Linked DNA regions of Cricetulus griseus. The main gene of each other region encodes a partner of the protein of the gene in region 2 in a complex. Links are inferred from orthologs where the notes say so. Each region holds a gene or a part of one and is shown on either strand. Other genes may lie near its edges.

Evidence for each region. Proteins that work in one complex are often made in the same cells at the same time.
Region 1: Strip2 (region 2) and Pdcd10 share a complex: the UniProt entries of both Homo sapiens proteins name them as parts of the core of STRIPAK complex. The link is inferred for Cricetulus griseus from reciprocal best matches to the Homo sapiens genes STRIP2 and PDCD10.

What each region holds. Positions count from the first base shown.
Region 1 is NW_023276806.1:78,251,209-78,256,683, reverse strand, and holds the start of Pdcd10 (programmed cell death protein 10), read right to left. Parts: upstream 3,102-5,475; 5' UTR 2,950-3,101; intron 1-2,949. UniProt on the Homo sapiens protein: Promotes cell proliferation. Modulates apoptotic pathways. Increases mitogen-activated protein kinase activity and STK26 activity. Important for cell migration, and for normal structure and assembly of the Golgi complex.
Region 2 is NW_023276806.1:197,864,063-197,867,703, forward strand, and holds part of Strip2 (striatin-interacting protein 2), read right to left. Parts: intron 2,666-3,641; coding exon 2,561-2,665; intron 1,041-2,560; coding exon 836-1,040; intron 1-835. UniProt on the Homo sapiens protein: Plays a role in the regulation of cell morphology and cytoskeletal organization. Required in the control of cell shape. Calmodulin-binding scaffolding protein which is the center of the striatin-interacting phosphatase and kinase (STRIPAK) complexes.

The DNA of each region.
Region 1 (5,475 bases), about 120 Mb from region 2:
CCAACCCAAGCCTTTTCTACTCTCTGGAGCCACTCAATTATTCTTCAGCTGAGGCTATAAAGATAACTAATACACCGCTCTTGTTCTTATAGACTACCCTTTAAGAGAGAGATGACTATATAAGGAAGAATTCCAAAGGCCTACGAAGAATAATATCTGAAAGTTGATGCAAAGCTACTTTAGAGAACAAATGTGGGCACCAAGAGCTGAACACTACAGGTAAAACAAACCACTGTGAATTCTAGCTAGCGACTGAAGGATTTTAAATACAGCAATAACATCATTCATTTCAGCACTACAATTGTAGTGATCAAACACTACAGGTAAAATGGACCTCAGAGACACAGATACATTTAGAGTAGACAAGAACTAATTTTTTCCTTTTGATTAAAAAATTCTCTCCAGGAGGCTATCTTAAATGCTCTAACCCCTATAATGAGATTGATGGCTACCTTACATGCCATTATAGAGCCTTCATCCAGTAGCTGATGGAAGCAGAAGCAGACACCACAGCTAAACACTGAGCCGAATTCCTGGAATCCAAGTTGCAGAGAGGGAAGAGGGATGAGCAAAGGGGTCAAGACCAGGCTGGAGAAACCCACAGAAACAGCTAACCTGAACAAGGGGGAGCTCATGGAGCCCAGACTGATAGCTGAGAAACCAGCATAGAATGGAACCAGTCCCCCTGAATAGTTAGGAGGCCTGGGCAGTCTATGGGACCTCTGGTAATGGAACAGCATTTATCCCTAATGGACCATTAGGTCCCAATAGGCCATTGGGAGCCCATTCCCCATAGAGGGATACTCTCTCAGCCTAGACACACAGGGGAGGGCCTAGGCTCTGCCCAAAATGATGTGACAGACTTTCATGATCCCCATGGAAGGATTCACCCTTTCTATGGAGCAGAAAAGGGATGGGATGGGGGTCGGTGGGGGGCATGGGAGAATGGAAGGGAGAGGGAACTGGGATTGATATATAAAATAAGATTGTTTCTAATTTAAATTTTAAAAAGTTAAAAAAGAAAGTCTTTCCAGAACCACAAAGTTATGTTAAAACTCATTTCATACCTTTCCCACAAACAGCAAATGTCCACAGTCATCTAGAAAATATATTGGCATCCTTGCTTTACAAGTTTAGACTTATATATGGCCCACTCAAACTAAGGCACCATTTTAATCTACTTCAAAATCAACCCCACATAATTTTCCTTTTGTTTAGTTGCTTCTTCCTTATTGTGTATTATATGTATGCAGCGTGTTACATTCCTGATTTCTGTCTCATTCTATAATACCATACCTCTCCATTTATTTTAAAGGTCAGAGTAAAACAAGTCCATATTAAGTTGAACCATAGAGGAACAAAGATTCTTCTGACCCCAGAAAAGTTTTGCATTAAAAAAATCAAATAAATTGTTAGTATTAATCATGGCAAGCAAAACATTCAAAATATTGTGTATTTATTTACAGTATATATGTATTTAATATTTTAATTTACATAATATGATGCCTACTAACTATAAATATGCATGTTTATGAGTATAATCTTATAAAGGAACCTTGTCTTCAATAAAAAAGTACAATTCTATCAACAACCTATCTAGTAATATCTATCAGCTATAATTAGTCAACTTGTTTGAAACAAGTGCATTGCTTTTTACTCAATATACAGGCATCCTTTTTTTTCCCGTTCTTTAACATTAAGAATGAATTAAAAGTCACAGATGATGCCAAGAAAAAGAAAATGCACAAGTCCTGGTTTTTACTACTTACACATGGAGTGAAGAAAATGAGAACCAAAAACCTCAGACAGAAAAAAAAGCCATTTCAGGTAACGACCATGTTATAACTTCTCCATGATTCTGCATTTAATTATCACTCAATGAAAACATTAAAATGTGTAAAATAAGTTTTGTCAAAGTTTCATCCGTACTTTAATCTTAGTTTCAGAAATCAGGAAAGGACTATTCTCTTAATGGCAACGCTGAGCTTATTGCTAAATATTACCTATCTTTTTGGCTCATGGAAGTTGTGTTATCATTTAGTATGTTTCGGAAAAAGGGTAAATATCTAAGCTAAAAAAAAAAAAAACAAAAAACAAAAAAAAAAAACAACCCTTCCCTTTTTAACAAACCGTTAAAGAAGATTGCTTTGGGAAGGATTTCACTCCACCCCAAGCAACCAACTCTTCACCTCCCAAACGTTTCTGAGACGCACACTCAACTTTGCAACTTCTTTTATCCGCTTCGAGCACCTACCAAGCAACTCCCCACTTTTCTATCTAAGCAGACAACTCTGGTCAGAACCTGGACTTTCAGCGGACTGGATTCAGAAGATCTGTGTGACCTTGGACACGTCATTTACTCCTTTAGTTTTCTCAGAAGCATCCCAAAGCGAAAGCGCTTTTGAGTACAGTTCAGGAGTAAAGCCATCTGACGTATGAGAGTTAAAAGGGACAAACACTTCTAGTTAAGAGTTACCTCCTTAGAGAGGCCACATCAGGAAACTGGAACTGAGTCGGAACTGTCAACACCGGCTCTCCTCTTTCCTCAAAGGGCATAACCCCAGTCACTCCGGGAGCCGACTCCCGGGCTCCCACGCTCTCTCCAGGCCTTACACAGCTCCAGCCTCACCTGCCGGGGACCCCACCCCAGCACATCCGCCCCCTCTGTCGGCGGGGACTCGGGAGGCCGACCTCACCCTTCCCCTCCGCTCGCACCCACAGCGGACTTCCTGGAGGTGCCGGGCCGCGCCGGGTAAGCGGCATTTCCAAACCGGCTTTACGCACCTCGCGTAGAGACCTCGCTGACGCCCAGAGGGCCCCGCTCCCCGCCCGTCCGCCCTCCGGCCAGAGCCCAGCCCCAGCGTCTCCGCCTCGGCCCCCGCCTGACCCCAAGCCGCGCTCGCTGCCCGGCGGAGCCGTGAGGACCCGAACCGAGAAAGCTCGCCTTACCAGCAACTGAGGCACGGACTTCACTTCCCACCTTTGGAGCCCTCTTCAACTCCCGGATCAATTCACTCCGGCGACGCCGGAAGGACCCGAGAGGAACCAGGCGTTGTCCGGAATCCTGCCCAGCCGGAGTCGCGCAAGGCCCGATGGGGATTCGTAGTTCCGCCCGCCAGTTCCGTCAGCACTTCCTGCAGACCTAGGACCACATTTCCCAGAAGGACCCGCAAGAACGCCTAGGGCGATAGGTGGGGACACTTGTAGCGAATAAGAAAAGAGTTCCCTGCCTTCACGGGAGGAAGGGAGACGGAGAGGGAGAGCGCCCAGAAACGGAGGAAGGGCGGGGCCGGCTCTCACCTGCACCAATCAGAAGGCAAGGCCGGCCCTCAGACGCCGTGCCCACTGATGGGCGGGGCTCGCAGATGAGTGGAAGGAAAGGGGCGGGGGACCAGAGGTGGCAGGGGACGGGCAGCTGGGTTGGGTGCCTGGGTAGGCTGCGAGGAAGCCTCTGGGGACTGTGGGGGGTGGAGGAGGGAGGGTGAGGCGTGGGCTTCGCTTGGGCTGAAGCGTCAGTACTCCCTAGGACAGCCCACTCTGGTGTACACTGGGCCGGCTCACTGAGGGGGCTAAACCTGACCTGAGAAGCTCCAGGTGCGACTCAGGGTGGGTGGGTGCGGTGGGGGGAAGGGGGGGGTGGACAGAGAACCAGGAGCCGAGACACTTGCTTCAGTAAGGCTTCGCGCCGCCTGCAGCTCGGGTTGCGCAAACGGCAGAGGGAGGAGCCGGAGCCCGAGGTCCGGCCAACTAGAGGAGGGGAAGGCGGAGCTTGAGTCTCAGTAGAAGCCTAGGCTCTGCTTGCTCTGTAGTTTCCCCGGAGAGAGGCAGGAGCAGGATCCTGAGCGATCACAGCCCGCCGAGCATCCTCTCCAGCATCCCGAGCCCGGGAGTGCAGGTGTGCGGGAGGTAAGCGTGGGTGCCCCTTGCCGGCGCCAGCACACCGCCGGGGGAAGAACGGCATCTGACAATAGGAACGCCAGGGCAGAGCTGAAAGAGTGTTATGTTGGCTTAAGATAGCATTGCAACCCCTTTCAGGGGAACGATGTGCAATTTTGGACTATAGTTGGGAGAAAAAGGCAAAAGGTAATTCCTTCTGATGTATAAGGGCGCGGTTAGTGATTTTGTTTTGAGTTGCACCATTAAAACTGGTCTGGGAGATCCCAAGATTGAAGAAAGCCCTGTTAATTGAGAACCAGGTGGACAGTGTCTAGATAGGTGCGTAGCTGATAAAAAAGCAAAAATGGCATTGATATAGAATCACTTCGGAACTATTTCGCTAGGAAAACAACTTTGTTCTCTTCAGTGCCTGCCGCTTGTGTTGGTTTATCAGATTGTTCTGCTTCGGACCTGTTATCCAGGGCGATTATGTATTGCAGGTTCCTGGGATTGCAAAAAATCTGGATTAAACAAGCAAATAATAAGATAGGATGGGTTTGGGCTGAACCTATCATAAGTATAACTTTTACCGCAATAATGAGAGAATAAATTTGAATAGTGGTTAATTTAGCGTTCCTTCCCGGCTGGCGCTGGAATATTGAAACAAAGACCTGGATTCAGCCTACAACAGAAACATATGGTGTACTTCATCGCTGCTCCTTATTCTCTCATTTGTGTCCGGTAAGGTTTGTTCGTCTTTTTAAAACAGGAGTACAAGGGAAGCTGTGTGGAAGAGCTTTCCTCTGTTGAAGAGAGTAGCTGTAAAATGATAACCTTTAGTATGTTGCAATGGGTTCCGATTATATATACATATATATATATATATGTATATGCATGTATATATAGTATAAAATGATAGTTCATTCTCATCATGTGTATACTTTTAAATGTAAGTTTAATAAATATGGGTGGAATTATGTTGTAATACTTGGTGAAGATAGTAGTCACCCCTACCTCTGTGTAACTAGGACAGATTACAGCCTTTTCGTTTTGAAAAAGTAGTAACAGTATATCAGCTTAGTTCATTTTGTTGTTGTTACATAGTACCCCAGATTATACTCCTATTAATCATAATAGCATATTGCAGCATATCTCCTCTGGAATGCCTTTATTTTGACAGTTGACTATCCCATGGGATGTCAGAATACTTTTATGTTTTTAAAAGAATGGTCAATAAGATCCAGTAACTACCTTTTATTTTTTTCTGTTGTCTTGCTATTCTGATTTACTTTAGGATTTTGTATTTTGTTTTTGTAATGCATACAAAATGCCTTTTTAAAATGAAGTGGCCCAAAGATATTCTTTCCATGGCTTCAGGTTCAGTCCTAGTGATTTCTGGTACTGATGAGAAATCTACATCCCTAAGTTAATTAAATCCTTCCCTCCTACATTCTCACATGCCAAAGAACTGTGTACCAGACAAATCTGAAAAAATAAAAATAAAACAAACAAAATTATCTAGGCTTAGAGTGAATGGATCATGGAGGTATGAGAAGAAGCAAAGAGCTTGTAAGACAGAAAAAGCAACAGAAGCCACTA
Region 2 (3,641 bases):
GGAGGCTGACCTGGAACTAGCTCTTGTAGATCTGGCTAGTCTCGAACTCACAGAGATCCACCTGCCTCTGCCTCTGCCTCCTGAGTGCTGGGATTAAAGGTGTGCGCGCCACCACCGCCTGGCTTTTATTCGTTTTTTTTTTTTTTTTTTTTTTTTTTGAGACAAGAGTTTCTCTGTAGCTTTGGAGTCTGTCCTGGAACTCACTCTGTAGACCAGACTGGCCTCAAACATCAGAGATCTGTCTGCCTCTGCCTCCTGAGTGCTGGGACTAAAGGTGTATATCACCACCACCCGGCTTTGTTTCTTTCTAGTAATCATGTTATTCAAAAGAGCAATTAAAACCTTTTATTGAGCTTTCTCTAGGGGATGAAAATTTCCCATTTGAGTAGAATCACCTCTCAAGGAAGGGGAGATTGGAGCAGAACATGAGGAGTCAATTCTAGACCAACTCAGCTGGGCATATTGTGGCATATGTCTTTACTCCCAGCATTTGGGAGGCAGAAGCAGGCAGAGAACACTTGAATTTGAGGCCAGCCTGGTCTACATAGTGAGTTCCAGGCCAGCCAAGGCTACATAGTAAGACCTTGTCTCAAACAAACAAACTACTGTAAGTATGCAAACATTTTACCATATCATAAAATTAGTATCATATTTTGGGGCTGGGGAGATGGCATGAGGACCTGAGTTTGGATCACTAGCACCTATGTAAAAGCCAGGGGTTGCAGTGTGCATTTATATAACCACAGTGCTGCAGGAGCAGAGACAGGCAAATCTCTGAGCTCAGTGGCCAGCCAGCCTAGCCAAATTAGTGAGCCCAAATTTTACAAATACTCACCATTGCCATAAGCCCAGTCATCATTCATGCGGTGGCGCACCTTCTGGTAAATGGCTGACATAGTCTTCATGTTGCTTTTCCTCCATTGGCGCCCAAGGTACTTGGTCTGTATCTTTAGTAGCTTCAAAACATAAAGTTGTAGCATGGCCTGTTTGACTTTGAGGGCTCGCTTTAAGATTGGAGCTGATTTAAACACCACCAGCATCTGCCCAGTGATACAGAGACAGAGTGACAAAAAGTCCATCGTCATGTGAAGTTTTTAGAATTTCCAACTCAGACAATATAGACAACTCTGGTTATCCTATGAGACCCTGAGGATCTAAGGTTCAAACTGCTTAAGAGTTAGTCTTAGAGAATACAAAAGAACTATATAAGGAGTTTGAGACTAGCCTAGGGTAGTGAAACACTGTCTAAAACACACACACACACACACACACACACACACACACACACACACACACACACACGAATTAAGCCAGACATGGTGGCACACACTTGTAATCAAAATATTCAGAGGCTGATCATGAGTTCAAAGCCAGTCTTGTGATATACAAAAAAACAAAGAACTAATTCATTTAAAGTTTGGCATAGCACTTAAGAATACTTGTTGCTCTTCTAGAGGACCTGGGTTCAATCTCCAGCACCCTCATTGTAGTTCACAACCATCTGTAACTCCAGTTCCAGGGGATCCAATGCCCTCCTCTGTCTGACCTCTGTGGGCACCAGGCACAAAGTGGTACACATACATACATGAAGGAAAAACACACATAAAATGAATAACTCATATGGAGGCCAGTGGACAATTTTCAGTTCTCTCCTTCCACTGTGGGTTCCAAGAATCAAACTCAGGTCACCAGGCATGCATACCAAGCACTTTTCCCAGCTGAGCATCTCACTAGCCCTGGAGATAATTTTGACTATAGCTATGTCACATACGTATTATTTTGTATTTTAACACAAGTAATAGCCAAGTATACTGTTCTATATCATGATTAATTTTTTAAAATTGTGTGTGTATGTGTATTTGAGTACATGTATCCTTGGGGACAAGAGACATTGGCTCTCTCTGGAGCTGGAGTTGCCAACAGATGTGAACTGTTTGACATAGGTGCTAGAAACCAAACTTGGGTCCTTTGCAAGAACAGCACATTAACTCACTCCCGAGCCATCTCTCTAACTCACATATCCCACAGGATCTCTTTATCTAGATCAGGCTTGCCTTGAAACTACAGAAATCCTCCTCGCTTCTTCTTCCTGAGTGCTGGAATTAACGGCCTCTTTAAATTTAATAATATATCTTAAAATTACTCCATACCAGCAGAGACATCGTTCTTTAAAATCGTTTATCATATACTACTTTAAGGAAACACCACAATTAATTTATGCAGTTGGCCCTTGTTAAAGAATATTAAGTTGTTTCCAGACTCTCATAAGCAGCATCGCAATGAATGTTAGACTTGCATCATTTTTGGATGTGTAACTATAATCCAAATGTGGCTGGCTTCCCTTGTTAGAGCTGCCTTAAGAGTGTTGTCTATATTTAGTTTCCTGAAAAGAAATGGACCAGTGAGCAATCATCTTGGAATAAGTGCCCAGAGTTAGGAAGTGCGGAAACTTAGGTAGCATTCACCAGCTATCTATCTTTTCCAGGCAGGCAATCTACAAATACTAGTGATTTAACAATTCAGTTGAACGGATACCTCTGTGATCTAAAGTCCTGCTTACCATGGTCCGGGAGTGCTTCCATTTGGTCAGTTTATTGAGCAGCCTCAGGAGGTTGATGCAGGAAAAGAGGTTCCTCCAGCAGAACTGGCTATTGTCTCCAGCTTCCTGAAATAAGGGACATCCATCAGTATCTCAGCACCGACAAGGCTTTCATTCTCCTGGGAGACTGCATGTCCCGGTTCGTTAGTTTAGGTGAATATTCCAGTATGAAATGCTGCCTCTTAACTTCCTGCCCTTTATACACCAAATCTCATTTCTGAGGGCATAATAGCCTTTACCTGAGAACCTATAGCTGGGCTGACTGTGTAGCTCAGTAAGAGGGTACTTGCATAACATGTGCAGAGCTGTGTGCCTGGATTTCAGACAAACAAAACAAAACAAAGCAAAAATAAAACAACTGAAATGGACACTTTGTACTCACAAGAGCAAGTTTGTAACTGCTAGGCATTTGATCTTATTCTGGTAGGTTTAAGCTGTATTAGGTAGAGCTGGTTCTCCTCCACCATGGCATCCAGGGATGAATTCAGGTTGTCAGATTTGTTCGTGGCAAGAGCTTTTACTGGTTAGACCATTACCCTGGCCCATGGAATTACCTTGTACGGTGGTTGGAATGCAATTGGCCCCCATAATGTCATAGGGAGTAGCACTATTAGGAGGTGTGTCTTTGTTGGAGAGGAAGTGTGTCACTGTGAAGGCAGATTTTGAGATTTCCTATGCTCAGGATACAGCCCAGTGTCTCAATCGAATTTCTATTGCCTTAAAGATGCAGAACTCTCAGCTATTTCTCCAGCACTATGTCTGCCTGCTTGCACACTGCCATGCTCCCTGCCATGATGATAATGGGCTAAACCTCTGAAACTGTAAGTGAGCCACCCCAATTAAATGTTTACCTTATAAAAGTTGCTGTCTCTTGGTGTCATGGTGTCTCTTCACTACAATAAAAACCCTAACTCAGACATCTTGATTAGTTTAACTGGCATGGGGAGATCCACTCTCTAATAGAGGGTGACACCATCGTCTGCATTTGGGTCCTGGATTGCATAAAAGGAGAAAGCCAGCTAAGCTTCAGCATGCATATTCC